Saccharomyces cerevisiae S288C: one gene and its partners. The gene in region 3 interacts genetically with the main gene of each other region. Each region holds a gene or a part of one and is shown on either strand. Other genes may lie near its edges. The genes, in order: TOP3, MMS1, SRS2 and CHL1.

Region 1 (6,858 bases), on a different chromosome or scaffold from region 3:
GGATTTAGTGGAGGTAAACAATTCTCCAACACCGTGAGCCTGTTTAGCTAAATAGATCACCATACCCAACATAGAGAAAAATGTAGCAACACACGACCAAATTAAAATGTAGTTCATGTGGTAGGGTTTCATTAAGTAACAGAATGCAGTAAGGACGTGGAAGATGATAAAACCAATTAATTCTTTAGTGGTCATGGCAACTTTCGAAGATAAGGTGTTTGGCAGGTGCAAATAATGGTGAGACCATGAATCCAAGATCATATTGATACAAAGACCTCCCACCCAAGCGTTGGACCCGTAGTTGACAATACTCATCAAAATTCTGATGATGATACCGAAGGCAGAACCGTAAATACCAAAGACGAATCTTTGGGCCAAAGTGAAACCGACCTTCCAGTCGTAACCAGGACACGAGTTTGCCAATGTGAAAATAATGGTCAACACATCACCGACGATAAATGTACCAATGGTTTCTGGGTAACTTAATCCAACACCTAGTGCAGAAGAGGCACTCATCCATGTACCCACTGAAAAGGACATAACACCCCAATATGCAAAATTAGACCAGAACCCCCATGTTTGGTTAGCCGACTTAATAGGTTGCAAATCCGGGTTCTTCAAGAAACTCACAGATGCCCTGTCTTTGACAGGAATTTCCAAAAATCTCAAAGCCCTGGAGACTTTACTACCGAAACTCATATTGATATAATGCAATTGGCTCTACAGTCCTTTAAATGATGTTGCGATGAATCTCAGAACAATAGATGCTAATATGAGTTCTGGAATAGGAAATGAAATGGTAAAGCTTCCCGATGACTTCGAGAATTGTATCTCACATATATACCTAATAAAAAAAAAGAAATTACATTACAATAGAGGATGTAAAAATTTCGCTTTTTTTTTTTTTCTATTCTCTTCCTCTTTTCTCTTCAACTACCCGAAAAAGGTATGCATACTATTTGCCTTAGAAGCCCGATCGATGAATCCTCTCCTCTTCCATATAAATCAATAAGGCAACCTCTAGAAAACGCCCATTCCTGCCAAGCGCTTTGCAGCCTTATGGCCGTACTCTGTGCATCCGCTGCTCATCGGCTCTCTGAAACCTTCCCTATGCGTTTGGTAGTCGCGCGTGAATATGCTAATTGGGGCGCCTTCCAACATGCGTTTACGCGGCGCGCTGGAGCTTCTGTGGCGGCGACTTCTGCATGGTTTGATGCAGTTGCGGCTGGTACTGAAAATGCACATATGCAGTCAGCTGAATCATGCAATTAAGCGGAGAGCTTTTTTGAAGACAAAGGGCGGCAAAAACGCCTTACATGGATGCCTTGACACGGTCATAAACTTGCAAGAGAGTATTCTTGCAGGCATTCGTCTTGTGCCAGTACTTCCTATACTTCTCGACTATGTCCTTTACAACATCAGTCTTGGAGGCATGACCTTCGCAGATTTTCTTGAGGTCTTGCTCCATTTCTCTGCGCTGGAAGGGCTTTGCAAAGGAGTCTTCGAGGCCGATGGCCTCGAAGCCGTGCACTAGTGAGACACCCAGGGTCGTGGGTTGTAAGTAGGTTTCCTTGCCTACTTTCTCGCTCCTAACGTAATTACGTACTTGGATCTTGTCTATGTGCTCCGCAATGGTGGCGTCTGTGCCAATGCCGTTTGTATCCATGAGGAGAATGAGTTCACTCTCAGTCATCGGCTTGGGCGGCGCCGTAGTGCCCGCCTTCATTTCGGCCTTCGCGATGTCTACGAGGGCATTCATTTCAAGCCGCGGTAACTGCTTGGTGGTTTCCCATCGGGCCCAAGGGTAAACATCGAGGAAATTTCTCTCTAGGACTACGAGACCTGAAGCTGAGAAACGTTCAACGGCCCAGTCCAACACAAGGGTCATCGATTGGCCCTTGGCGTCCTCTGAGCAGCATGCCAAAAAGTGCCTGGCCACGTACTCGTATACTCTTCTTTCCACTGGCGAAACATTTGCTTCAGGCCCCAGACTTACGATGGGGTGGATTGGTGGATGCGCTTTGTCGTCATGGGAGCCGCTTCGTGGAAACTTGAACTTGTTATTGTTACTTGTGTTTTCGGGTTGGAGCAGCGATGCCGCGTACGATGCCCAGGCGGTTCTGCCGCCTGCAGCGAGTTGGTCCAATTGAGCTTGCTTTTCGACCAAGGATTTTAGGTCCATTGCGTGTGGGAAAGTATCAGTCTCTGTTCTTGGATACGATATGAACCCCTTTTGGTATAGCTTTTCTGCTGCGTCTAGTGATTGTTTGGCGTTCAGACGCAGGTACCGGGCGCAGTTTTTTTGTAGCTCCACTGTGGTCAGAGGTAAAGGTCTGTATTTCGTTGTTGGCTTTGATTTCAAGTCTACTACTTGAGCAACATTGCCGGCGGTTTCGATGCATGTCTCGTAAAACGTTAACACGCTCAGCCGGTCGAACAAGTGGCCCCTGTCCCACTGGAACGTTGTTGTTCCGCCGTTGTCTTTGTTTTCGACTACCAATTGGATATACCAGAACTCTTCGGGAACAAAATTTCGTATTCTTTCAAACCTGTCTACTACAAAGCCGAGCGTTGGAAACTGGCATGTACCATACGATACGACTTGTGAGTCGTTCTTGTTACCACCGCGGTGTTTTGCACCATCCTTGGTCATGGTGGCTTGGTTTCTCAGTTTATTTCGTAGCGTTTCTGTTAAGAGTCTGGTGAATGTAACACCTGCTCGAAGATCGATTTCAATCCGCGTGCCTACAGCGTGCACACTCTTCATATCCAATCGACTTGGGTTTCGTGCTGCATTTAATATGTGTTGTCTTTCGAGATGCGAAAAGACTGCCCGGTATACTTGATCATTTTGTATGAGCCTGTTGCCTCTCTTGGCCTCCTGCCATATCTCCCAACCGATGTACTCTCCTTCCCGGTCGCAATCTGTCCATATCATCAGATAGTCTGCATTCCTCGCTTCTCGCTTGATGTTGCTTGCTATCTTTTTTTGGTTGTTATTCATAATCTCGTTCAGTGGCGCATCAAATAACTCTTGGATGGCGCATTTTCCCCACCCATGCGAATCATGGCTGAAATCAATGCCTGTTAGGTGCCCTGCAACACTAGTCATGGTAACTTCGCAGTTAGCCCCATTTCTGGCAAACGGGAACCCACTAAACATGAAATCATAGTTCTTTACATACATGTAGCCGGAATCCCTTGAAGTTGATCTGCCTCCTCCTAGGATCTGTGAAACTGCCTTCGCTATAGAATTTTTCTCTGCGACACATAGCACTTTCATTATTGTCTATAATACACCTTTACGTAGCTGAAGCGAGCGCACAGACGAAGGTGCTTTCAAAAGCGATGCCCTCTTTATTGACAGTTACTAATTCGCCAAACTGCTTTTTTTTATCAATGTGATTTTCGCGTTCACGCCATTATCCAATGTCAAAAAGGATAATGGAAATGTTAACATGCCTGTATGATCCGACCGTTTTTAGCAAACTTATCAGGGGAAAAAGTATATTCCATTAAATGACACATGCCACCATAGATAATGGATAATGAAGAAGTTAACGAAGAATGTATGAGATTATTTTTCAAGAACGCTCGTGCGCATCTGGATAAACATCTAACATCAAGGTTGACATGCGATGAAAATGCATATATCACGTTCAGATGCTTCCTGGATGGAATACATCGCAAATCTACTAGGTTTCTCGAAGAGCTACTTTTGAAACAAGAAAATATGTACCATAATAACAATTACGAACGCATAAATGATTCCGTGATACCATTGGTTCTGAAACTTTTATGGCTTCAAATTCACGAACCTACACTCCAATGGTTTGAGCACTGGTTCCATGATATCATGCGACTAAGTAACAGAAGAAAGTTCAGAGTTTTTAGAATTTTTCAAAAAAAAATGATTCAATTTTTCAAAATTACACACAGGTATTACTATGACATCATCGAACACCTATGCGCAAAGTACGATATGAATTCCGTTATTTCAAATGCTCTCTTCGCGAAGTTGAATTTAATGCAATACACAGATGGACTTTCAACTCATGAGAAAATTATCTTAAACACGAGTAATCCACTGACGTTTTCCATTGTAATCTCACTACAAAGATGCGTGATTAATCTAGGTTCCACACATTTTTATAAAACACTACTAAACAAGCCGTCTAACAAACCCAAGAGTGTGGAAGGTTTTGAGAAGTCTATTAGGTACTTGAATATTGCCTCACTCTATCTCCCAGCCGTTGGAGATACTTATTTTCAACGAGCGAAAATTTACTTGATCACTGGGAAATTCTCACTGTATTTCTTTGAATTAGTAAGAGGAGCATTGGTAAGGATTCCGTCTAAATGTGCGTTAAACAATTTGAAAGATTTCATTTTGACTCCTGATTTTCCGGAAAGAAGACGTCTGATGAAAAAATTGGCAATTCTTGTGTCAAAAGATCTCAAAGGTGAGAAATCATTCTTTGAAGGTCAAATTGTTTTGCAATTTCTATCGATAGTAGAACACACTTTGGTTCCACAGTCATGGAACGCATCACGTGCTTCTAATTGTTGGTTATTGAAAGAGCATTTACAAATGGCTGCATTAAAGTATCATTCAGGTAATATTAATGTTATACTTGAAAACTTGGCTGCCACAATGGGAAGTTTCGATCTTATGTTTACAACTCGAAAAAGTAAGGAACAAAAGAACAAACTCAAATATGCAGATTTGAGTGAGCGCCAGGTTTTTTTTTTAGACTTGAGCTTTGATTTTATTGCTAATATCATAGACGTCGTCATCAAACCCTCCTGGCAAAAAAACATGGAAGACTTTCGATATCTAGCCATTATTCGTTTGCTTATGTGCTGGATTAAGTCATATAGATCTATTTTGCAGTACACTCACAGACACAGGAAGTTTTGCACTTCATTCGCCTTGTTGCTGAACGACTTGATAAATAGTCCACTGAATTGTTCAGGAAATATATATAGCCACAGGCCGAAAAGAAGCTATCTTTTTAGAGAAGATATTATTTTCAGGGAATTTTCTTGCATTAACTTTGCACTAACAGATTTTAATGACGATTATGTGTATGATTCTCCCGACATGATTAATAATATAATTGGATGCCCTACATTGACTAAAGTGCTTTCTCCAAAAGAAGAATGTGTTCTGCGAATTAGATCAATAATATTTTCTGGCATGAAATTTTTAGAGAAAAATGACACCGGCGTCATATGGAATGCCAGCAAATATAAGTTTGATTTAATAAGCCCAAATATTAAAATAAAACGCCAAATAGCATTATCGGAAATTTCCTCCAAAATAAATGTAAAAACACAACAGGAAAGAGTAGTCTCTTCGAGAAAAGTTGAGGCCAAAAGAGATGAACAACAGCGCAAAAGAGCCGGGAAAATAGCTGTGACAGAACTGGAAAAACAATTTGCAAATGTCCGGAGAACAAAAAAATTGTCTCCGCTCCCAGAAAAAGATGGCGTTTCTTCTGAGTTGGTAAAACATGCTGCTTCACGAGGGAGAAAAACTATCACTGGCCCACTATCCTCTGATTTTCTCTCATATCCAGACGAAGCAATTGATGCTGATGAGGACATCACCGTCCAAGTGCCAGATACTCCTACTTGAGAGAACAAGTAATGGTGAGGGAAAAAATCATAATATGAAATATATTATGACGACGTCAATTAACGTCGTCCACGCCTGTCGTCGTCAACCCACGAAAATATGGGGGCGGTTTTTATAACGGTTATTAAAACGACGGGATGCCGTCTACGGCACGGACAAACCCATCGCTTTGGAAATAGGTGACTGCGCTTGAAAAACATAATTATTTATTAGCATAATAAATTCAAGACAGCAAATATATATGCTGTCAATACGTACATATTAAGCCTAAATATTCTGTGGAAAAAAGAAACAAACTGGTAATTATGGAGAAAGCTTTGGAATTAGACGGAGAATATCCGGAATCTCTGAGGGATGAATTCAACATCCCTACATTTAAATCCATGGGACTATCGTCCGACGATAAGCCTGTGACGTACTTATGCGGGAATTCTTTAGGTTTGATGCCGAAGTCAACTAGGAATTCAATTAATGCTGAGCTAGATGCGTGGAGCGATTGTGCTGTGGAATCGCATTTCAAACATCCTGAAGAAGCCAGAGGAAAGGTGCCTTGGGTCAGCATTGACTTACCTATTCTTCCACTACTAGCCCCCATCGTGGGTGCTCAAGAAAATGAAGTTGCAGTAATGAATAGTCTCACTGCAAATTTGAATTCATTGTTAATTACGTTTTATAAACCTACTGAGAAAAGATTCAAGATCCTTTTTGAAAAGGGCTCCTTTCCATCAGACTATTATGCTTTCTACAACCAGTGCAAAATTCATGGAATTTCGGAACCTGAGAATGTTTTTATTCAGATCGAGCCACGCGAGGGAGAGACTTATATCAGAACTCAAGATATCCTGGATACCATAGAGGTAAATCAAGATGAATTGGCGCTGGTCTGTTTGTCAGGTGTTCAGTATTACACGGGGCAATATTTCGATATTGGCCGAATCACCTCATTTGCCCACCAATTCCCCGACATATTGGTTGGATGGGATTTAGCACACGCTGTAGGGAACGTCCCATTGCAACTTCATGATTGGGGTGTTGACTTTGCCTGTTGGTGTTCTTACAAGTACTTGAATGCCGGGCCTGGTGGAATTGGTGGCTTATTTGTCCACTCGAAGCATACTAAACCAGACCCTGCTAAGGAAAGTTTGCCAAGATTAGCTGGTTGGTGGGGCAATGATCCTGCTAAGCGATTTCAAATGCTGGAAGTATTCGAGCCGATT
Region 2 (8,949 bases), on a different chromosome or scaffold from region 3:
CTGTGTTTACTGGTAGAAGAAAATCACAAGGTTCTGCCCGCTCCCAACTGTCGATTATTGAAATAGACGAACTTAATGGAATCTTAAAAATAAATCCATTGATCAATTGGACGTTCGAGCAGGTTAAACAGTATATAGATGCAAACAATGTACCATACAACGAACTTTTGGACCTTGGATATAGATCCATTGGTGATTACCATTCCACACAACCCGTCAAGGAAGGTGAAGATGAGAGAGCAGGAAGATGGAAGGGCAAGGCCAAGACCGAGTGTGGAATTCATGAAGCCAGCCGATTCGCGCAATTTTTAAAGCAAGATGCCTAGATAGATAGAGTACGATATATAACCATATGTATGTGACTAATTATTTATTCCTTAATAACACCAATGATTACAACTTTCTAAAGCTGGCGGAGAATTCGCGCTGTACGAGAAAAGAGCGAAAACAGAGGAATATTCAAACTAAGAACCAAACTGCGATAAAGAGGATTGAAAGGAAAAACGAAAGAAAAGGTAAACTGACAAATATATACATTAACCGATGGGTAATTTCAGATTTCCTATAAAAACCAAGCTACCACCAGGGTTTATCAATGCTCGCATACTTAGGGATAACTTCAAAAGACAACAATTTAAAGAGAATGAAATCCTTGTTAAATCTTTGAAATTCATCGCTAGAAATATGAACCTTCCAACAAAACTGAGGTTGGAGGCTCAGTTAAAACTAAATGCATTGCCAAACTACATGAGATCTACGCAGATCAAAAATAGGTGCGTGGACTCTGGACATGCAAGATTTGTTCTAAGTGATTTTAGGTTGTGTAGGTATCAATTTAGAGAAAACGCTCTGAAGGGTAATTTGCCAGGTGTTAAGAAGGGTATTTGGTAAAAAATTTTATCGCGAAAGTATATATATATATATATATAGGATACGCACTTGTAAATAAATACATGATAATTTTTATTCTTCTTTAATAGATGATAATACTTACTGAGCAATACACTTATATGTAGAGAAGAATAAGATTATACACATACTGGGAGAAAAACAAGTAGCTATAGTTAGAGCTAAAATAACAAAAAAAGGCATACGTACATACAATGAGAAAAGGAATGGGATTGAAAAAGGGCAGTATCTGCCACTAAGTTAACGACTGAGAGATCGAGACACTCCTATAACAAGACACACTTCTTCTTCTTCTTTTCAGTAGTGTTCTTCTTAGCTTTACCATTCGTTTTAGATTTACCCATCAATGAAGCTCTAGTGGCGGCCTCAAACACTTCTCTGACACCATAACCAGTCTTGGCCGAACATTCGTAGTATCCGGTTGCGCCAATCTGGTCTGCTACAGATTGTCCCTCCTGTGATGTAACGGGTTGTTGACCTTCTTGTCTTAATTGTTCAATGGTTTGTGGGTCGTTTCTCAAATCCACTTTACAACCAACAAGAATAATTGGCACACCTTGACAGAAATGTAATACTTCGGCAATCCATTTTTCTTGTACATTCTCTAAAGAATCTGGAAGATCGATAGAGAAACAAATTAATACGACATTGGAGTCTGGGTATGACAATGGTCTTAGTCTATCATAATCTTCTTGACCAGCGGTATCCCATAGCGCTAGCTCTACACGACGCCCATCAACTTCAACATCTGCTACATAGTTTTCAAAGACAGTTGGTACGTAGACTTCTGGAAATTGGCCCTTGGAAAAGACGATTAATAAACATGTCTTACCACAGGCACCATCACCAACGATTACCAGCTTTCTTCTGATACTGTTACCAACTTGTTGTGACATCTTTCTAGTATAATTTTTAAAGTTCTATGATTTTCTATTAGTGCAACAATAAACCTCTAACAGCGATTCTTTTGTTTTATTAATTTTGTTCCTTTTTTGAGTTTTGTAACTTTAAGTTTGGGTTGTTCCAAAAATGTTTTTGCAATACTCAGAGGAATGATCGATGGTCGAAACGATATTAAAGACGAATTCCTGCTGGTAAAATAAATATATACGATTAGGATAAAGAAGTATTTGTATCAACTACTAAAACATGTAGTACCCAATACAAATCAAACAAAAATTGTATAATCTGTTTATTTTTTTTTCTGAGGCGAAGCAAATTGGAAACAACAAGAATTCTTGTATCTTTTTTTAGCCCCTTGTCACGCTGCACGACGCGTAGCACATTGATCGAGAATCACGATTTTATCAGCGACAATGTTATTGGAAATGAGGGAATTATACTGTGTTCTTGCAGTTATCGCTAAGGTTCCATAACCCAACCTCACAGATGAGGTCAGATTTAACTATTGACCTTCTTGAAACCAAATAGCCAGAATTCCATCTTGGTTCGTATTCGTCCTGGCAAGGCAACCTGTCCTTGCCGAATTTGTGAATTGTTTGATCTGCCATTAGCACATATAAAGTTTGTACTGCGGGATCGTAACTAATATCTTGAATAGGCTTGTCCAATGCTACCGCATTATAGGGAGATAGTCTTTTAGTTCTCATTGCAGTGCTTCCTAATATAGAACTTATATCCTCAAAATAACGGGATGATACATGATCCTCATATACTATAGTGGCGGCTCGGCGTAGTGAAGGTTTTGGTGTAGAAGAGTGGTTTCGCCAAAAGAGTAGTAAATTTCTACGCTGCCTTAGGGCAACCTCTGCTTCGTCATTCTCCGACCGTATGCCTTCGCTGTAACGATTTACGTGCCTCTCACCATGTAAAACATCATACAAAGCCATAGTGCCAAATTGAAATCCTTCAGGAAAGTCAACCTCGAATATGTCGTCGACTCTCCCATTCCCATATTCATCTGGTAGGCTGCCTGTTTCGTTATTAAGCCCAACTTTGATGGTGGGTAAAGAGTAAAAAATTAATCTTGAATCTAAATCGTTCCTATTTCCACAGTAAGCGGCAACAACAAAGCAGCATTCATTTAATGGTATTATCTTTTGAACTTTTGAATCAGGATACATTTCCAAGGGATACACCCTTCTCGATTCGTCAGATGATGAAGAGAAATCCTTAATCAAGTAGAGCTTTTCGCCCATATTTGTGGTAGCAATGATATTATCGCCTACTACAGTAAACGTCTTAACTGTACTCCAACTCTTAAATGTAAACCGGGTTTCCAAAGTGAGCCGCAAAGTCGTATTATTTCTCTCCTCCTGGTCAATGCAATGTTTTGTGACTTTCAACTTGTTAAAGGACATTTCGTTATCGGTGCCCATAACTTTATAATCCAGAAAGAATATTTCACCTCTGGGAGTAATGACCAAATGATTGAGGAGTCTTGAATTGTCAAGTTTATACGAATCTATTATTTGATTGGAAATTTTGTTTTTTGCAGCAGTTAATAAAACTAGTTTTAATGAGCTAGTAAAAGAGATCAATAATACAGTTTTCTTTTCTAAAGGATTGTCCTCTGTTGCTATTGGTAATTCCTTTATTTCTAGGATTTCTTCAGAATCATCCTTAAGAAGTTGAGAATCTAAACCAACTGCCTTACCATCTGATAGTCTAATACACTCCCATTCCCTCAAGTCCTGATTCAATACCAGCATTCGATTTATTTTGTCTAGATATAAAAATTTCTTATTTTTGCTTCTTGTAGATTTTAATAAGAAATTTCCATTATTTGATGTTAGGTATGATAGTTCGAGGATTCTTAAGCCATCAGAGTAGAGTATGAATAATTGGTTGTTTTCTATGTCCGGACAGACTTCAAGAATTGAATTGTTATTACCTAGGTGCGGTAATTTTAGCTTGTAAAAATCCAATTCTCTACTGTCGTGAATTGGCGTTAAATTGATGACAAAAATTTCAAATGCACTAAATGCCAAACATTGATTCACACCAAAGCTTCTAAATTTAATATCTTTCCCTTGAAAATTAACTCTGCTTGTACATCTGGATCCTTTTTTGAAGCAGTTGTTCTGTAAAGTGTGCACCTCAAAATATGATTCATAATCGAGAGAGCAAAAATAAGGGCCGTTTATTAACGCCTGCTGAACACTCAAAATATACACATCAGAAAAATCAAGTGAATCACTAATCCAGTCAGAAAAGGGTGTACGAATGACACAGTCTGGTAAAAGGATCCAAATGTCATACTTGGTTGGATCATCTGTAGACTCTTTGATTTGAAAATTGACACTCGTGACAGTTCCTAACTGCTTGAAGAACTTGCTCATGCCTTTGCTGCTGCTTAAGTTTGAAACTAAGGCGCCAGACTCATCAACAGCGTCTATATTTTCAATATAAGAGACACAGCCAAGCCCAGCATTCCAAACTATTAAAATACCATCATTGTATGTAACGTTTTCGAATTCCCAACCTGGAGAAATCTTACGCAACTCTTTGTCCCCACCAATGGGATCGATGTATATCGTATCCCTAGTTACTTGAATCAAGTTATTTTTCGTAAAATTTAGAAGGATAGTTTCGTTTTCAGTATCACATAGTAAATCTTCTATATTTATCAGTCCTTGAACGGGATCATCATTATCGATTGTCGTTGTCATAGTTAAATCTAATAAAAATATTCTGTTGTTAGAAACAGCGTCGGTCGCAAAAATTAACGAACTTTCGGTATTTGACTGGTTTATTCCAAGTCTCTGTAACAGAGCAATATCAAGGTTCTTACATTTCCATATCCTAAGATGTCTAAAAATTTGAAATTGCTTTAAGTGGATAAGTTGATGAGTTTTCCTGAGTTTATAATCAATGCAAGGTTGAGTTATTGCATTTGGTGAGGTAAGCCAAACTTGAGAATTTCTCGTGTCATTGATGTTAGAGCCTGTGTGTGTGTTATAAAATTTAGAAGACGTAAATGCTAAAATTTGAGAGTTCTCCTCTGTGGAACTATCAATTGTGTGCTTGAAGGTGATATTTTTCAAAGGCTTAATAACGTCTTTTTTATCTAAACATCTCAAATCTTCTAGAGATAATGTTAGCTCTAATGTTCTACTAAAACTTATGACCACCAGTACATAACTTGAGGATCTGGAGTCTAAATTTATCGGATTTGAAGGTAGTGGTGAAATGGATTTCAATCCTTTGAACCTAGTTAGCTCGTAAAATTTTAAATTACCATTTACTATTGTCGATCGTTCGGTGACGCAAAAACAAATATTTCCTGTCGAGGAGGATATTATGGTACAATATTGGAATTTTTTAAATGTATGTGGGTGTAGTTCTTGTAATTTTAATAACAATAAAGGAGCTGGAAAAAATGACTTGATTCCCTTGAGAGCCTTCAATTGGAATGAGTGGAATTCAGTCTCTCCTGACATAATTTGATTTGCAGAAACTAAAGAGAACTTTAGGGGTGTTTCGACTAAACATGCATTTAGTCCAATGGGTATTGTCATATTAGTCTTCTCACCATCAAATACTGTCAATTGATATACCTCTTTTTTCTTTATTTCGTTGTTGTTCCATTCTATGACAAAGTAGACTATCCTTTCATATCTTATGGCTGTTATAAATATAATGAAATAGGGATCTAAATCAGTGTAATTTGTTGGGAAAAAGGATCCGTTCATAATCACGGAATCGGTCAATGTTAAATTGTTTACTAATTGAAAAGTAAATGGTAAATGGAATTCAAAAAATTTGCAAATGCCTAGTTCCTTATGTATAAGAACAAACTGCTTCTCGTTTTGGTGCTTGATTATGTTCCACTGACCTTTTTGTCCCAGGTTCCAATATTGTAGCAAATATGTCTCTTTACCGTCATCAAGCGGTAAAATAGACAATAAGTGACCACTTGGTTGAGTGAGTAATATTAAAATTGCAACGTTGTTGGGTTTTATAGCTATGCTGCCAGATATGCCAGACTGTATGTATGTTATTGAAGTGCTACCTGTTTGAAAGATTCCATTGTTGGATACTATTAAACTGAAATGCTTTTGTTGGATTTCTTCCAGCGCCTGCAATTCAATTTTTGGTTCTTTAACATTACCGCTGTCACTGCTCATTTCTATGTCATCCAATGCTTCTATATCTGAATCATCTAAGGTTTCTGGGTTTTTATCAATGTCAAAAAGACTACCTATTAGTGTGTTATACTTTTGAGGGAAGCCGTCTGACAGTTCAGAACGTTCTTGCAAAATGTATTTTAATACTGGTTTAAAATTTATCGGACTTGAGATTGGATAACAAAATTGAGGCATTTGACCAATATTCGAATCGTGATATCTGAGCATCATCATTGATGGTTCTAGCTTTGGCCCTACACAAGGTCTCACCCAAGTTTCATCCTCGGTATTTTGATAAAAAAGCTCAGGTTCATTCCACTCACGTGTGGTGCTTGAATCAATTAATAAATTGGGGGAAACTCGGAATGACTTATGATTCAACCAATCTTGCAGCTCAAGTTTGCCAAAATCCGACGGGCGACGAATATAATGTTCATACCTGTCTAAACCATGAGTTCGCAAACCTAGCATACCTAATTGACACCGTACTACTTTAATTAGACCCAGAAACGAAACGGAATGTGAAGCGATTTCTTCTCTTCTTCCAATTCTTTTGCAGAGCCCATCTCTGGCAAAGGGCCATTTGTTGGAAATCACTCTAACATGGCTTCTGTTTCCCGATAATATGCGGGTAATGCCTCGCACTTCCTTTGGTTTTGAATTTATGCTATTCTCTTTCTTTGCACATCTAACTTGAAGTGATTAGTACCAGATTGAGCTCAGCTTCTCAAAATTATTTCGAACATATCAATTTAGTTTGTAAGTCATAAAAATCGATATTTTTTGCTTTTTCCTTTTTTCCTAAATCTTCTTGACTGCTTGCAATCTTTGTATCTTCATCTTTCCTTTCTCATGTTTCCAAATTTAGCCTGTATATTCATAGAGACTTCTTAAAGTAAATTTTGGCAGGATAATAGGGTACTGAAATCTATGTTGCTTTTTATATCCTGGCGCTACTTAGCCGCCCAACCTTTTTGTCTTCTTGTCTTTTTTTCTTTTTGGCTTTATTTCTCATCAGATCACGCACCACGGAATGAAAATTTTTTTGCGGAAATCAGCATCGCTAAAGAAAAGCAGAAATAGAAGCAGAAGAGATAGATATAACTACAGAGTTAGAGAAGATCAGTAGACCAATAAGCGGGATTATCATAAAACTCGAGTTTATATTAGCTTTCATCTGTCTTTAGGAAAATAATACCATAATAAAAAGGACACATCATGGCTCCACCAAAGAAAACCGTAAAGAAGATGGACCTTACGTCATTTTTAAATGATGACACCTTTGGTTCATCTTGGGCTGAAGAAGATGTCGATTTGAATAAGATCACAATTCCTATTGAAACCGCTAATGCAAACACTATTCCATTGTCCGAATTGGCTCATGCTAAAAACAACAGCAATAACACGCGTTCAGGCGGCTTTGGTGGCAGTTTTGGAGGTAGATCTAGATTAGACCCTGCTTTGGGGGGCGGTTCTTCCGATAGAAGAGAGGAATACCCTGTTCCAGATGCTCCACCATATAGGGCTGTCATAAACAACATTCCATGGGATATTACCCCAGAGGGTGTTCAAGCCTGGGTTGAAGATGGTTTAGTTAAGCCTGAAGCGGTTGAAGAAGTTGTTTTGCCAAAGAATCTAAGAGACCCAACAAGATTAAAGGGTAATGCTTTCGTTACTTTGAAAGAAAGAGCAGATTTGGTCGCCGTTCTGAAGTTCAACGGTACTAAATTGAATGAGAGAACTGTTTACGTTTCTGTTGCGGCTCCAAGAAGAGGGGGAGGTGCAGATGTTGATTGGAGTAGTGCTAGAGGCTCCAATTTCCAAGGTGATGGAAGAGAAGATGCACCAGATCTTGATTGGGGTGCCGCTAGAGGTTCTAACTTCAGAGGTCCAAGAAGAGAAAGAGAAGAAGTTGATATTGACTGGACTGCTGCAAGAGGTTCCAATTTCCAAGGCTCTTCCAGACCACCAAGAAGAGAAAGAGAAGAAGTTGATATCGACTGGAGCGCTGCAAGAGGCTCCAATTTCCAAGGCTCTTCCAGACCACCAAGAAGAGAAAGAGAAGAGCCAGATATTGACTGGAGTGCAGCTAGAGGCTCTAACTTTCAAAGCTCCTCGAGGCCACCAAGAAGAGAAAGAGAAGAGCCAGATATTGACTGGAGTGCAGCCAGAGGTTCCAACTTCCAAAGCTCCTCAAGACCACCAAGAAGAGAAAGAGAAAAGGAAGAACCAGCTTTGGATTGGGGTGCTGCCAGAGGTGCTCAGTTTGGTAAGCCTCAACAAACCAAAAATACCTACAAGGATAGGTCTCTAACTAACAAAAAGACTACTGATGAGCAACCAAAAATCCAGAAGTCTGTTTATGATGTTTTACGTACTGAAGATGATGATGAAGATGAAGAGGCTGAAAAGCAAAATGGAGACGCAAAAGAAAACAAAGTTGATGCGGCAGTTGAAAAGCTACAGGATAAAACTGCTCAATTGACTGTTGAAGATGGTGACAATTGGGAAGTTGTTGGTAAGAAATAGAGTGTTGTATGATGATAAAATGTACATTTGTATTTACTGTTTGCTTTTTTTCTTTCTTGTTTTTCTACTCTCCTTTCTACCAGGTATTCTAACTCTATTATATAATTAAAAAAAAAATAACCATATATTTTGTATTAAGTTTCATACATGTGTTCAAGTGTATTTTTGGATTTATCATTTTTCTATGTGAGGTAAGTTTTTGAATGTCCCATTTTCCTTTCGTTTTTGGAAAGTTCTAAGAAAAAGCATTAACAATTAAAAAAAAAAAAAAAATCTAAATAATACTGATAGAAATATCAAATATAAACTACTAATATCGGTAATATTCAAAAGAAGAAGCATGACTATAAGCGAAGCTCGTCTATCACCGCAAGTCAATCTTCTCCCAATAAAGAGGCACTCAAACGAAGAGGTAGAGGAG
Region 3 (8,142 bases):
CATATAATGTTTCCACGATTTGGACCTGCCTTTTTCAACTCTGTGGAAAAAGAAAATTGGGCCAGAGGACTTTTGAATGATGGATCTTGTCATAAACACTATTAAACCCATCAAGACAACACCAGATAGCGAAAAGATTAAAACCATGATTTTGGCGCCAACCGACTTGGGCAGGATGTCACCTAGTCCCACGGTTAATAATGATACCGTGCAGAAATATAATGCATTTCCGTAAGTGATGTGCAATAAACCGCTAAACATACCCGCACCCCAAATCAACCATAAAGACAATAGTACAGTGTATGCCATGATACTTCTTTCATTGGGCAAAAGGTTGAACGTTGGAGGATATTTTCCTAATTTATATCCAATAAAATGTATTGTTAAAATAATGGTGCATACCAAATATAGACCAGAACTGATACAGGCAAACCAAAATCCGATAGTCTTACTGTAGATGCTGGGCATGTCATTCAAGGAGCATACAATCACGTCCACCAAAAGCATCCCTCCAGCTATTGTCCATCCTGTTATATTTATTAACTGAGATTTAAGATACGTCAACTTCTTACTGAAATGTAGCATTAGTATAATATTTGACGTAAAACCCAGTACCAAAGAGATGATATTAACGGCAAAAATACCAGGAGGATCAAAAACTGTCTTTACTTGATTCATCAAAACATCGGTGTCATTGCTTCGTGGATTTGTCACCACGGAGTTGTTCTTTAAGGATCTCCATTTTTCAACTACACAGGCTATCGAGATAGTGTTAGCTACGGGACCCAAGCAGGCAGTAATCACAGGGAAATAGCATGAAACCACAAACCAAAAGACGAACAGTGTTGAAGAAGGCTCTGCATTAATAATACTAACTCTTTCGTCCCGGAACCGCAATGCATCCTTTAGTTCCTCTGCAAGAACACCCTTAGCTTGCTTCGGTGTGTTGTTTGAATGAGAATCAACAGCCTGAGCTGAGCTCTCTTGCTCCACTGTCGCCATATTGCCATATCCCAGCGTTTGTTTGGCAAAGCTGTTCATGAACCTTGTCATATATATAGAAATCGGTAAAATAAATACAAGAAATATGCTTTGTTATACTGCTAGAAAGGAGTGAAGACATCTGCTCACGATCTACGAGATGCGGCTATTTTTGATGGAAAAAGATACATAGGGTCAGGCATTTTTGCCATATTGAATAACCAAGATGGTACTGAGTACTCAGGTAATGTATATTACATTGAGTACTTCACTTGTATACACAACCACTGCTTCGTATTGTATATCAAGTATCTAACTGTTGATAAACTACAACTTTCTCTTCAACCATAATGATAGCGCCGCTTAAAACATGCTAGGGTAACGAGACGCGAATGCGAAAAACTCCCAAAAAAACCAAAACAAACAAAAGTGACAACAATTAGAACGATGCTGAAGAAGAATAGGAGCGAGTTTAGAGTTACCTCCAGCTATCCTGATACTACTGCTTAGGCTACCTTCGCAGAGTCTCGATAAATTTGCAGTCGGCAAGATAAGAATATTTCTCTACAGCTTTTAGACAGCTTCCTGTCCCTCTAGTTTCTTTTGCCATCCATAATTGTACTCTGCACTTTGAGTATCATTCCAATTTGATCTTTCTTCTACCGGTACTTAGGGATAGCAAATGTCGTCGAACAATGATCTTTGGTTGCATTTAGTATCCCAGTTAAATACTCAACAGAGAGCAGCGGCCCTCTTTGATTACACTAGAGGGCTGCAGGTCATTGCCGGTCCCGGCACAGGGAAGACTAAGGTTTTAACTTCAAGAGTAGCGTATCTTATTCTGCACCACCATATTCATCCCCGCGATATTATAGTGACTACTTTCACTAACAAAGCTGCTAACGAAATGAAAGAGCGTTTGCAAGAAATGTTACGCGGGGCAGGCGTGAATATTTCGGAGCTCTTAATTGGTACTTTTCATAGTATTTGCCTGAAAATACTTTATAGATTTGGCCACTTGGTGGATCTACAGAAAGACTGGAGAATTATTGATGAGAAGGAAATAGATGTCATTTTAGATGATATGATCGAAAAAGTTCCCGACCAAATAAGGGATTATGCTTCCTCAATCACAAGGAAAGTAAATCTTTGTATGCCGAGTAAAAATGGAGATGAATGGACTATTCATCCGAAGCTGATCAAGAAACAGATATCAAAGCTAAAATCAAACGCAATATTACCTGAGGAATACATCTTAGATTCGAATCATGACGCCGCGCTTGGTTACTTTTACCAAATATACCAATCAGAGCTAAGCAAGAAAAATACGTTAGATTTTGATGACTTATTAATGTACACCTTTCGTTTGCTGACTAGAGTGCGTGTTTTATCCAACATAAAGCATGTTTTAGTTGACGAATTTCAAGATACTAACGGCATTCAATTGGACTTGATGTTTCTTTTTGCTAAGGGAAATCATCATCTTTCGAGGGGGATGACCATCGTAGGTGATCCTGATCAAAGCATATATGCTTTCAGAAACGCCTTAGCGCACAACTTTCTAGAAATGGGCAGAAAATGTCCCATCGAGTACTCAACTATCATACTTGTTGAAAATTATCGTTCATCACAAAAAATTCTAAATACAAGCGAAATTTTAATAACGCAACAAAACAAAGGTCGGCAGAATAGGGCTCCACTCCGTGCCCAATTTGACCTGGATTTTCCACCAGTTTACATGAATTTCCCCGCTTACTTTTTGGAAGCACCTTCTTTAGTTCGGGAACTACTATATTTGAAGGCATTGCCAAACCTATTCACATTTAATGACTTTGCTATCCTAGTAAGACAACGAAGACAAATTAAAAGGATCGAAAGTGCATTAATAGAACATCGGATACCCTATAAAATTATTAGGGGCCACAGTTTCTGGGATTCCAAGGAAACAAGAGCGATGTTAAATTTATTAAAATTGATATTTTCTCCGAATGACAAACATGCAATTCTTGCTTCACTTTTATATCCAGCAAGGGGCCTTGGTCCTGCTACCGGTGAGAAGATTAAGAACGCATTGGACACGTTAGCTACCGATGTGTCATGTTTCCAAATATTGAAAGACATAAGTAGTAAAAAAATAATGCTAGACATACCGACGAAAGGCCGTTCTGTGATTGCTGACTTCATTTCAATGATAGAAAATTGTCAATTGTTGCTCCAGAGCACTTTACTAGGGGGTCTTTCAGATTTATTTGATAAGCTATATGAATTATCAGGTCTGAAATACGAATACTTGTACAAGGATGGTAAGAAAAAAAATGATCAGCTTGAAAAATCCGAACCTAATTTATTAAACGCAAGACATAAGAATATTGAACTTTTGAAAAACTATTTCCTGGCTCTTCTTTCCAAGTCAGAATCTTCAGATAAAGAAAAAAATGAAGCCATTAAAGCAGCAACAGATGAAGCCGAACCAATAGAGAACAAGGTCATCACTCCAAAAGAATACCTCCGTAATTTCTTCAATTCACTTTCCCTTCATTCTGATGCAGCTGAGGAGGAAGAGTCGGAATCCAATAAAGATGCAAAAATAAAACGTGAGAAGAATGGGTTTGTCACGATATCTACAATTCACGGTGCCAAAGGTCTTGAGTGGCCGGTAGTTTTTATTCCTGGATGCGAAGAAGGTATAATTCCTTGTGTGTTCAACGATGATAAGAAAGACGAATCAGAGGAGGACGAAGAAGAAGATCAAGAAAATAGTAAGAAAGATGCAAGCCCAAAAAAGACTAGAGTTTTATCCGTGGAAGATTCTATAGATGAGGAAAGAAGAATGTTTTTTGTTGCACAGACTCGTGCAAAATACCTGTTGTACCTATCAAATACTGTAACTGTGGAAGATGTCGATAGACCAAGAATTGCAAGCCGATTTTTGACTACTGACTTGATAAAAGCCATGTCCGATAGCCAAAAATTATTTGAAAGTACGAATAGTATCAAAAAACTATACCGAATTTTGAACAAAAAGCCGCCTGCTGAAGATGATAAACTATTCTCCCTTGACCAATTGCGCAAAGACTATAACCAATTCATTGAAAATAGGAGAGAAAGGATGATTTGGCAAGGGATACAAATGAATGATGTCTATGGAATACAGTTGTCTAGAAATAAATTATTGGGTTCTGTTAGTGATTTCACGTCAGCTGCGGACCAGTTACGACTCGAAACGCAAAACTCTATATTCCCACAGAAGAAACTTATTGAAAAATCACGCCCATCCAAAATCAATGGCAATTACGCTCCTAAAAGTAGAGTTAAAAGTCCAGAAAAAAGGTACGCTCCAGAAACTACATCATTCCATTCTCCTACAAAGAAAAAGGTGTATGCACCTCAATACGTTTCAACAACTAATGTACCTAGTAGGCAGGAGTTTCATTCTTCTACTGGGAAAAATATTCCTTTTCTGAGAAGAGAAGATAGGTCCATCACAGACATATCACCACGATCATCAACGAGGTCGTTAAAAGGAGCATCTCCAAATAAGACGAGCCACATGTCAGATGATTTAATGAGACCATCACCTACGAGGAAGGACAAAGTTACTCGTAATATTCATTTCGCAACTGCAGGAACTTTCAGAATAGAAACCCAGTCAAATGTTGATGAACTGCATCCTCCGGAATACTCCAATAAATCAGGGCAGTCGCTTACGTCGAGTGAATTTTCTGGGTTTTCTAGCGCGTGCAGTAATTCTGATCAGCCAACGAACTTAATAGAAGATATAAACAACGAATTAGATCTATCCGATGAGGAGTTATTAAATGACATATCAATAGAAAGGAGGAGAGAGCTTTTGGGCTCGAAAAAGACGAAAAAAATAAAACCAAAAACTCGAAATAGAAAGTCTAAGAGAGGTGACAAGGTTAAGGTGGAGGAAGTGATAGATTTGAAGAGTGAATTTGAGGAAGATGACAGCAGAAATACAACAGCTGCTGAGTTATTACATAATCCGGATGACACTACAGTTGACAATCGTCCAATAATCTCCAATGCTAAGTTTTTGGCTGACGCAGCAATGAAAAAGACACAGAAATTTTCCAAAAAGGTGAAGAATGAACCTGCATCAAGTCAAATGGATATATTTTCTCAGCTGTCACGTGCGAAAAAAAAGTCAAAATTAAACAACGGTGAAATCATAGTCATCGATTAGTAGCACTTTCATGCCTGACTACGTCAACTATTGGAGGCGGTTTATAATTTTTATTTAAAGCACATAGGAGTTAATTTTATTTTACTGGTAGGGTTTGTATACGAACTACATGGAAATGTGGATGGTGTGTTATTATAGCTTAATGAATATTCTTTTTCTATACAAGAAAACCGATATGACAGCTATGAATGAGCAGTATGCCAACAAAACCAGGAATGATTTTAAGGGTGAAGAATCTATCGTGACCATAGACATATTGACTAAACCAGTAGAGACATTTGCCAACAAAAATAAAAACAACCCATTGGAGTTGATTGATTCCAAGCATTCGGCAACTTTATAATATTCCGAAGAATTACCGAAAATTTTGTCAGTCAAGCAGTACCCAGTCAAAAATAGTAAATTATAAGTAATGACCCACAAAGTATATGGTAAGTTAGCAAACCTTCTTGAAACACTATAAGGATGGTATTGAAAAACCAACTGGCTGATAACAAGAAAAATTGTACTCCATATACAGAGGCCACTTAATGGGGTTACTGAAGTCCAATAGTCCCAAGTCGAAGACTTCTTTGATGCTGCAACTACGTCTTGCGTAGAAGGCTTATAAAGATTGTTTAAAGTTGGTTTATTTCCCAACAAGTAAAATCCCGTGTTTTGGCCCCAAAGAAAAATCGAGCAATAACCTAGAAATGAGAAGATGCCTTCTCTATTAGCACTGAAGAAACAATTTCTATCAGCCAAAATTAAAAAGTTTAAAGTGCGATCGTCCTTTAAAAGTAGCCATTCATAAATGCATGAAATGAATATTGCAATTGAGCAGCGTGGAACCATTCTTGTGACGGGATCAATAAAGGTCAATACAAGTGGCAACAATGATAGGGTGATAAAAAAATTCCAATGAACCCCATATTCTGTGACATGTTCTTGATATTCCAAATTTTTTACAAAAAACAACCTCAGCAATCCTAGGAACAATAGAGTTCCTCCTGATTTTAAGGCATTAAATGCATTTTTTAAGAAGCTGGGTTTACTCTTCAAGCTTAGGTTTTTCAACAGTGCCCTAGAAGAAACAATACCGTTACTGAAAACGAATGATCCTACACCAAGATCCATCAGGGATGTCCCCCAAGTTTCCACCTTGGCAAACCTCCTTGGGAAAATTGGAAAATCTACAGCCAAGATGGCAATAGCAGTCAGAATAAGCATCCCACCACGATACGCAGTAATATACGGCTTTTTTTCTAGTTGGAACCGCTGTGTAATCATTTTTTTTTTATTGTATATTGGATTAGAAGGTTTACTCGAGCTAGTAAATTTTCCATATATGAATGCGAGCAAACAAGGTAACAGTATTAGCGTGTTTAGAAGGTATGGTTCACTAGCATAAATAGTAATAGATAGAAGCAAAGCAACCCAGTTCAATGCAAAATCAATTATGTATTGCACGCTGGAAATGCCAGGAGGCATAAGGTTGGAATTTTTCAATAAGTTCCATGATATGTAAGTTACCAAAGCAATTGATGTCACTGCGTTAATTTCTGTTATAGAACCGCCATTGAGCCCTGTCACAAAGTCCTCTTTTCTCTGTTTTAAAGTCGACATATTCTTCTGATGTACTGTTGCCATTTATTTAGATATTTACGTGTCTTCTTATTGCGATCCTCTTTTTCTCATGCTGTTTTTTCACGCGAGCATGTCATGGAAAGTATTATCATACAAAACGGTAATACATATAGATGAGTAGATTTGAATAATGCTGTAGATGGCGTATGTAAATGAATATCTTATAAAATTACGGACTACATTTCAAGAATCTAATTCCTTTGTCTGATTTCTTGTCTGTCGTCTCATAGGTTTTTCTAAAGAGGCAGTACGTTTCTTATCTTGAATGGAGCCATAGGTAACTTGAGTATGTGAAACTTCCTCAGTTCTTGGGATCTCTTCTGGATTAGAAATTGCAGTCGGCTGCTCTGTAGGCACATTTTCTGACATTATTGTGCCCCAACTCGTGGTTCGTTTAATTTGTTTAGGAACGAAATTTTTTGGCAGTGACTCCAACTTGATCCTTTTCGTATCCGGCATTTGTCTCTCTGAAGAAACATCCATGATACTCGATGAGACACTACGCTTTTTTCTTCCAGAATCAGTTTCTCTAATTTTCTGCAATAATTCGTTTTTGGTATCTTTCATAGAGTGCTCCGATAATGAGGAATTGTTTCTTTTCAAAAGAATAGTTTTGTCGATTTTTGGATCATTGTTTTGGTACTTTTTTTCTGAACTAATGCTGGTATAGTATGGTTTTTTTATCTTACATTTAAAATCGTCCTTGTGTCCTCTTGGGCAGATAATACACCACTTGATATTGTTTAAAAAGATTTCATTATTTTCTCCAGATGCAGCGGACAATAATTTAAAAATAAATGCTGGAGTAACTACCGGTATGGAGTGGAATTTCTTGATATATTCAATTTTCCTTTTCATCGAATTTCTCAAGATTGAATTATTTTGAAAATCTTTTCTGTTATTATCACCAGGATCATCATTATTGTTATTAATGCAAAACTGAGTAAAAAGATCGCTAAATTCATTCGACCATAACGGATGGGTTTTCGGGATACTGGGTAAAGCTGCTAAGTTGATTAGCAGAATGTCAGTGGATTTATTGAGGTATTCTACATAATTGATGCCCATTGGTTTTAGAAGATTTAATACTTTAGTCAGATGTAACAGCTCTACGCCAGAGAATCCAGTGATAGTAACATTCAGAAAAGGGGAAGAAGAAAATTCATGATGCAATAACTTTGAAGAAGACGAAACTTGAAACTCTATTGTGCTGAGGAAGGGTTTTGACCATAAATCTATTGGGTGTAGTAATTTTTGATAATACAAGCAGCGTTCAATGAAAAATTCTGTAACTATACCATCATTATCATCTATAATCTCAGGTAAAT
Region 4 (7,077 bases), on a different chromosome or scaffold from region 3:
AATACGCTATAAACAAAAAATCCGAATTAACGAATAGTTTTGATTTAGCTTGCGTATTATCTATAGCGGCAATACTTAAAAGAGAAGCGCCAATTTACAACGGCACGTTATTGATGAAGAACAGCTTTCTCGAGGAAACGTTCAATTTAGAAAGCTTCACGGCTGACCCTGAAACTGTAACATCCACCACGAATAACACGTGGAAGAGGTGTGGTGTCACTTTGCTTCCAATACTTACAACGCATGTAAAGATATGTCCCGTGAGCAAACAACGGGTAATAGACATAAAACGAGATGATTTGAATGATTATGGTTGGTTTACAAGGGGTCTATTAGAAAGATTTAATGAAATAAGCGTATATTGTGGAACAACGCTGGAAGTTATGTAAGGATACAAGAGACAAAGAATTACTTGCAGATATAAAAAGTAGTCATAAATATCAGTTTAGTTTACTATAATATATAGTAGTAATCACAGTATACACGTAAACGTATTCCTTTTAGCGTGAATTCAGGCTGCGCATTGAAAAAAACTTCCGTGTTGAAGAAATGACCTGATGTGTTGTATGTTCGGAATTGATAGAATCTTGCACCCAACGTGACAATTTTTTCCGGAAATTGGGCCTATTATATCGCACATCGAGCAAGTAAATGTTTGCGTAATCATTTGCATGCCGTATAGCACGTCCAACACTTTGGTTGACAGCTTTCATACAAATATTCTCCATAAACTCCTTTGTTGCTCGTGAAGCTTCCTCTTCCGTTCCGCCTGACTTCATTATTTTAGCGGCCAAATGCTTCCTTTTAACTATTAGTTCTCCACTAAAAATATTTGGGAACGGCAGGCCCACCATCACCACAGCCCTACATAAATCATCTTGAAAATTTATTCCCTCTGATAATTTTCCCCCAACAATAGCCAGCAAAAGAGACCCCCTTCCCTCTGCTACCGAATCAGAATATCCAGATAGAATATCATCGCCGTCTTTTGCTTCATAGAATATTTTCCTCACGTTATTTAATGTAGCAAACCTGTCATTCTGTTTCCAGCACTGAATTACATGCGCCAAATACTGATAGCTTGGAAAAAAAGCTACAATACCACCCTTTTTAGGAACTGCTTTGCTCAGATCAACAAAAAATTGAAAAAGATGATTATTTACAAGGGAGGGAGACATTCTTTTTTCGAATGTGAACTCAAGCTCAGGCTGGTTTGTGATATAAGTTTGCAAATTCTCTTTCGGTATAACATGATTGCACGACAAGGTCGTAATGTCTTCAGAAGGAACTTCAGGTAGCAAATTCGACAAAAACTCTGACATGGGTTCCATTGTCCCACCTGCAAGGACTACACATTTTGCTTGATTTAGTATTGACTCAAAAGGTTTACTTGGTTCTAGAAGCATGTACTTTATTGAATAATTTTTCTCAAAAAAAAATTGTCCTTCTGACGTCAAATTTGTCAAACAATATAGGAATTGAGAAACCTTGAAAAGTAATGGCTGAGAAGAAACTGATTTTTTATGCGTTTCTTTTATTGGATTTTCATTTTTTGACGATTCTTCCTCTTTTAGTGCCTGGTTATACGTGTCAATTTTGTAAGCAATTTTGGAGACTTTTATATATCTCAATAGTTTATGAATGTTTAGGGTATCGATGTTACTTCCTGTGAACATATCGTTAGGATCTATTTCTTGTCCTATCTTCTTGAAATTTTTAACTATAAATTGAATCAGAGTCATCAAAAGTGAATTGAGCTTTAATAGATTTACTCTGTTACCGGGATTGAGCCTGGACTTAAATTTGTTGAAATAAGTTACTATCCCCTTATGGCAATTCTTTAAGTCCTCCAACGAGATCTGAGAGGAATATATAGAATTTATTGTTTCTATCAAATTATGAGCCTCATCAATAATTACTATAGAATTTTCAAGGTTTATTTGAAGACTTGAACGGGTGGACTCAGAAAGTAAGTATTGATATGGCAAAGTCACTACCTCCGCAATAGGAAGTGCCTCCCTCGAGGCGTAATAGGGACAAATTCCCAAAGATTTTCCCAGGGGAACTAAATCTTCAATATCTTGAATTTCTGAAAAAATCATATCTCTGAGAGCTAACGTATCAGGACAATGACGCCATTCGTTTGTATTTTGATAAAAGATACATCCCTCTTTACTATGTCTAAGGTCCGCACATGCGTCATTAATAGCTTCCAATGTTTTCCACTTCATCACTTTTGGATTAATACAAAGCTGCTTTTTCGAAGCAAGTGGTAAGTACTTCACCTTTTCATCTGGGACCTTATCCCTAAAGGATGATGGGAACGAGGGTAATCTTAACTGAGAAGTAAATTGACCTAATTGTGAATAAGTTCTGGATGCATAATATATTTTCACTGGATTTTGATTTGTAACGTCAAAGCGATCGCCATTGTTTGGATCTCTCGAAACCTTCCCATCAATTTTGTCTAAAAGTGTTATTATTTGTGAATTTAGTTCACTCAATTTGTAATCTTTATCAGATATTCTTCCTCCTCTTGTGCTTTTGGAGGTATCATTGTTTTCAGAATCTGATTCGTACGGGCGCGGAATAAAATCTTGTTCTTCAAGTGATACATCAAGGTGCCTAGCGCCTTTGCGTTTCTTTCTTAATGGATCAACTGATTTATATCTTCCATGTTCTTTATCTAAATCACACATAGTTTTCAACTGCTTACAACTGGTCGTGTTAATTTCGTTTAAATGCTTCTCATAATCATTTAGCAAATCCACCTTTTCTTGTAAAACAGACTTTCGATAAGTGTCAATAACCCAGTCTGGCTCGTCATCGCTTAGGTTTTCACTATCATCTTCATTCGTTTTGATGTTAGTTTCCATGCGGGTGAAAATATCTGCTTTATTCATTCTCAACCAAGTCATCGTGGCACAGATTAAGGACAGCGTCTTGCCTGTCCCAGTGGGGCTTTCCAGGATAGCTATTTTCTTCCCTTCGGATAGCACTCTGTATACAGTTTCCATTAACTGTACCTGAATATCATAGGGCTTATAAGGATGATAGAAAGTCTCCGAATATTCCTTTTTGTCCATTTTTTGGACTAGTGTGACTGTTTTTAGCCTGGTTTTCTACTCTTTTGGGTTTTAAGGAAACAAACTGAAGTTGCAGTAGTGCCCTCAACTTAGCATGTGCTGATTACACTAATGATGAATTTAAATATGTCAGTGATAATGTCATCAACTGTCAGGTAACAAATGAGCCTCTACCTCAACTCTGTGGTTACGATTAAAATTGGATTTTCAATAAATAGCCTGAGTTTTAACCTTTTCAACAATTGCGACTTCTCTTCCGGACATTAACTAATGCACTATATCTATTGTATATTTGGACGCGTTTGAACTTTTCATTCATGCTGCGGAAGGATAGAAAAATGAAATTTCGCCTGAAAAATAGTTTTAAAAGAATCCGATGGCAAATTGAAAAGAAAGTTGCTACTTATTATCCGGTCTAAGAAGTCAGGCAGGCAAGAGATTAATAGCGATGAAGCAAAGAATTAGTGCCCTAGATTTACTGCTGTTGGCTAGAGAGCTGAAACAGGATTTGGAAGGCTACCGATTGAGTAATATATATAACATTGCCGATTCCTCAAAACAATTTTTGCTGAAATTTAATAAACCAGATTCTAAACTCAATGTTGTTGTCGATTGTGGCTTAAGAATTTACTTAACTGAATTTAGTAGGCCAATACCTCCAACTCCTTCCGGCTTTGTTGTCAAACTAAGGAAGCATCTTAAAGCTAAACGGTTAACAGCTTTAAAGCAAGTAGACCAGGATAGAATTCTTGTTCTACAATTTGCTGATGGCCACTTCTATTTAGTTTTGGAATTTTTCAGTGCAGGGAATGTCATTCTTCTAGATGAGAACAGAAGAATTATGGCTTTGCAAAGAGTCGTTCTAGAGCATGAAAATAAGGTCGGACAAATTTATGAAATGTTTGACGAATCACTTTTTACCACAAATAACGAGTCTGCTGATGAATCCATAGAAAAAAACAGAAAGGCAGAATACACCTCTGAACTAGTCAACGAGTGGATAAAAGCAGTTCAAGCCAAGTATGAATCAGACATTACTGTTATTAAGCAACTTAACATTCAAGGGAAGGAGGGCGCTAAAAAAAAAAAAGTGAAAGTACCTTCCATCCATAAACTGCTGCTTTCGAAAGTCCCTCATTTGTCTTCAGATTTATTATCAAAGAACCTTAAGGTATTCAATATCGACCCTTCAGAGTCTTGTTTAAATCTTTTGGAGGAAACAGACTCACTCGCCGAATTGCTAAACAGTACTCAGTTAGAATATAATCAACTTTTAACTACCACCGATAGAAAGGGTTACATTTTGGCCAAAAGAAATGAAAATTATATCTCTGAAAAAGATACTGCCGATTTGGAATTTATTTATGATACATTCCATCCCTTTAAGCCATATATAAATGGGGGAGACACTGACTCTTCTTGTATCATTGAAGTTGAAGGTCCTTACAATAGGACGCTAGACAAATTTTTCTCAACAATAGAATCCTCTAAGTATGCTCTACGTATACAAAATCAGGAATCGCAAGCGCAAAAGAAAATCGATGATGCTCGTGCCGAAAATGATAGAAAAATACAAGCTTTATTAGACGTCCAAGAACTAAATGAAAGGAAAGGCCATCTCATAATTGAAAATGCACCCTTAATAGAGGAAGTTAAGCTTGCTGTTCAGGGTCTAATCGATCAACAAATGGACTGGAACACTATTGAGAAACTAATTAAAAGTGAACAAAAAAAAGGCAACAGAATTGCTCAGCTTTTGAACTTGCCTTTGAACTTGAAACAGAACAAAATTAGCGTCAAGCTTGATCTCTCTAGCAAGGAACTCAACACTTCTTCAGACGAGGACAATGAATCAGAAGGCAATACTACTGATAGTTCTAGTGACTCAGACTCAGAAGACATGGAGAGTTCGAAGGAGAGGAGTACAAAAAGTATGAAAAGAAAATCTAATGAAAAGATAAACGTTACAATTGACCTTGGTTTATCAGCTTATGCCAATGCCACTGAATATTTCAATATCAAAAAAACAAGTGCTCAAAAGCAGAAAAAAGTCGAAAAGAATGTCGGCAAGGCTATGAAGAATATTGAAGTCAAAATTGATCAACAATTGAAAAAAAAGCTAAAAGATTCTCACAGTGTCTTAAAAAAGATCCGCACTCCTTACTTTTTTGAAAAATATAGTTGGTTTATTTCAAGTGAAGGATTTTTGGTCATGATGGGTAAAAGTCCGGCTGAGACAGATCAAATCTATTCAAAATATATTGAAGATGATGATATTTATATGTCCAATAGTTTTAACTCTCATGTATGGATCAAAAATCCAGAAAAAACAGAAGTTCCACCGAACACTTTGATGCAAGCGGGTATACTATGCATGTCCTCAAGCGAGGCTTGGTCGAAGAAGATATCTTCTTCTCCATGGTGGTGCTTTGCAAAGAATGTTAGTAAATTCGATGGCTCTGATAACTCCATTCTGCCAGAAGGTGCCTTTCGGTTGAAAAATGAGAATGATCAAAACCATTTACCCCCTGCTCAACTTGTGATGGGTTTTGGATTTTTATGGAAAGTGAAAACCAGTGGAAATGAGGATAATGGTGATGATGACGAAGAAGAAGAAGAAGAAGAAGAGGAAGAAGAAGAAGAAGAAGAAGAAGAAGAAGAAGAAGAAGAAGAAGAAAAAGAAGAAGAAGAAAAAGAAGAAGAGCAACAGCAAGATGAAGACGATAGTAACGAGGTCAATGGGTTAGAGAAGGGTGGAGATTCAAACGATAGCACGAAAAACAACAGTTTTGAACACGATAATCTTGAAAAAGACATCGAAAAGCATTGCACCATATCATCCGATACCGACTCTGATTCTGGAAATGCTAAAGCCAAAAATGACAATAGCAGTACGCAGCGTATCCTTGATGAACCAGGTGTTCCGATATCTTTAATCGAAAACATAAACAGTAACGTCCGTGGTAAAAGAGGAAAATTGAAGAAAATTCAAAAGAAATACGCCGACCAGGATGAAACTGAACGTCTCTTGCGTTTGGAGGCCTTGGGTACTTTGAAGGGTATCGAAAAGCAGCAACAAAGGAAGAAAGAAGAAATAATGAAGCGAGAAGTTAGAGAAGATAGAAAGAATAAACGCGAGAAACAAAGAAGACTACAGGCTTTAAAATTCACCAAAAAAGAGAAAGCAAGAGTGAACTATGATAAACACAAGTCCGAATTAAAACCATCTCTCGATAAGGGCGATGTGGTTGATGATATTATACCAGTATTTGCCCCCTGGCCTGCGCTTTTGAAATATAAATACAAAGTCAAAATACAACCGGGAAGTGCGAAGAAAACTAAGACTTTAACTGAAATTTTACATTATTTCAAGAGTAGACCACTAGACGGTTCTTCAACTGACAACGAAATGGATTGGCCCCAAGAACATGAAATGATTAAAGGCTTGAAGGAACAGGACTTGGTTCTTCTGCTCTGTGTCGACAAGTTAAAAGTAACAATCGCTGGGCAGAAATCCACCAAGAACGGTGGTAACTCTTCGAAGAAGGGCAAAAAAAAACGCTAAATCATATGAGATGAAAAGAAAATAGACAGCAATTATAATTTTTTCATTATTTTTCATCACAGACCAACGAGAAGAATAAAATGATTAGCATGAGGTGACAATCATTTCTAAATGAGCAACATATACTTATATATATAAGTAGATACATATATATGGAAGGGAGAAAGTAAGACACTGCATATATACCATATAAGACCAGCTAAAATTTTCTTCTATCCGCTTTGCCTTGTGATCATAAGCCTTGCTGTAACCTTTCTTGAAACTTGCTCTTTGCGAAACCCCACGCGCCTAAGAAACCCTTATCCAAATCTAATGCCATTTGGGGTTCGTTCGTAGGTGGTTTAGAAACTCTGGATGCAATAGTGTTAGAGTCAGTTTCGAGGATAACACCATTATCAATGGTTTCATCAATAGCTAATAAAACCA

What was found.
Region 1: mutations in SRS2 (region 3) and TOP3 are lethal when combined (synthetic lethality), as found in Saccharomyces cerevisiae (8 studies listed by BioGRID, with this or other methods).
Region 2: mutations in SRS2 (region 3) and MMS1 together harm fitness more than expected from each alone (negative genetic interaction), as found in Saccharomyces cerevisiae (7 studies listed by BioGRID, with this or other methods).
Region 4: mutations in SRS2 (region 3) and CHL1 impair growth when combined (synthetic growth defect), as found in Saccharomyces cerevisiae (8 studies listed by BioGRID, with this or other methods).

What each region holds. Positions count from the first base shown.
Region 1 is NC_001144.5:606,208-613,065, reverse strand, and holds TOP3 (DNA topoisomerase 3), read right to left. Parts: upstream 3,284-6,858; coding exon 1,313-3,283; downstream 1-1,312. Other genes in the region: thiamine transporter THI7, read right to left, coding at 1-699; YLR236C (uncharacterized protein), read left to right, coding at 949-1,272; EST1 (Est1p), read left to right, coding at 3,542-5,641; BNA5 (kynureninase), read left to right, coding at 5,947-6,858. UniProt on the Saccharomyces cerevisiae protein: Releases the supercoiling and torsional tension of DNA introduced during the DNA replication and transcription by transiently cleaving and rejoining one strand of the DNA duplex.
Region 2 is NC_001148.4:868,224-877,172, reverse strand, and holds MMS1 (Mms1p), read right to left. Parts: upstream 6,471-8,949; coding exon 2,247-6,470; downstream 1-2,246. Other genes in the region: MET16 (phosphoadenylyl-sulfate reductase (thioredoxin)), read left to right, coding at 1-326; mitochondrial 37S ribosomal protein uS14m MRP2, read left to right, coding at 544-891; Rho family GTPase RHO1, read right to left, coding at 1,176-1,805; TIF3 (Tif3p), read left to right, coding at 7,218-8,528; ORC4 (origin recognition complex subunit 4), read left to right, coding at 8,869-8,949. UniProt on the Saccharomyces cerevisiae protein: Component of multiple cullin-RING-based E3 ubiquitin-protein ligase complexes (CRLs), which mediate the ubiquitination of target proteins. The CRL associates with CDC34 as the E2 ubiquitin-conjugating enzyme.
Region 3 is NC_001142.9:255,760-263,901, forward strand, and holds SRS2 (DNA helicase SRS2), read left to right. Parts: upstream 1-1,663; coding exon 1,664-5,188; downstream 5,189-8,142. Other genes in the region: TOK1 (Tok1p), read right to left, coding at 1-1,053; GWT1 (glucosaminyl-phosphotidylinositol O-acyltransferase), read right to left, coding at 5,321-6,793; protein kinase activating protein DPB11, read right to left, coding at 6,998-8,142. UniProt on the Saccharomyces cerevisiae protein: ATP-dependent DNA helicase involved in DNA repair at least for UV-induced lesions. The polarity of the helicase activity was determined to be 3' to 5'.
Region 4 is NC_001148.4:535,394-542,470, reverse strand, and holds CHL1 (DNA helicase), read right to left. Parts: upstream 3,087-7,077; coding exon 501-3,086; downstream 1-500. Other genes in the region: transcription factor TFIIIC subunit TFC8, read left to right, coding at 1-389; RQC2 (Rqc2p), read left to right, coding at 3,535-6,651; RET3 (coatomer subunit zeta), read right to left, coding at 6,884-7,077.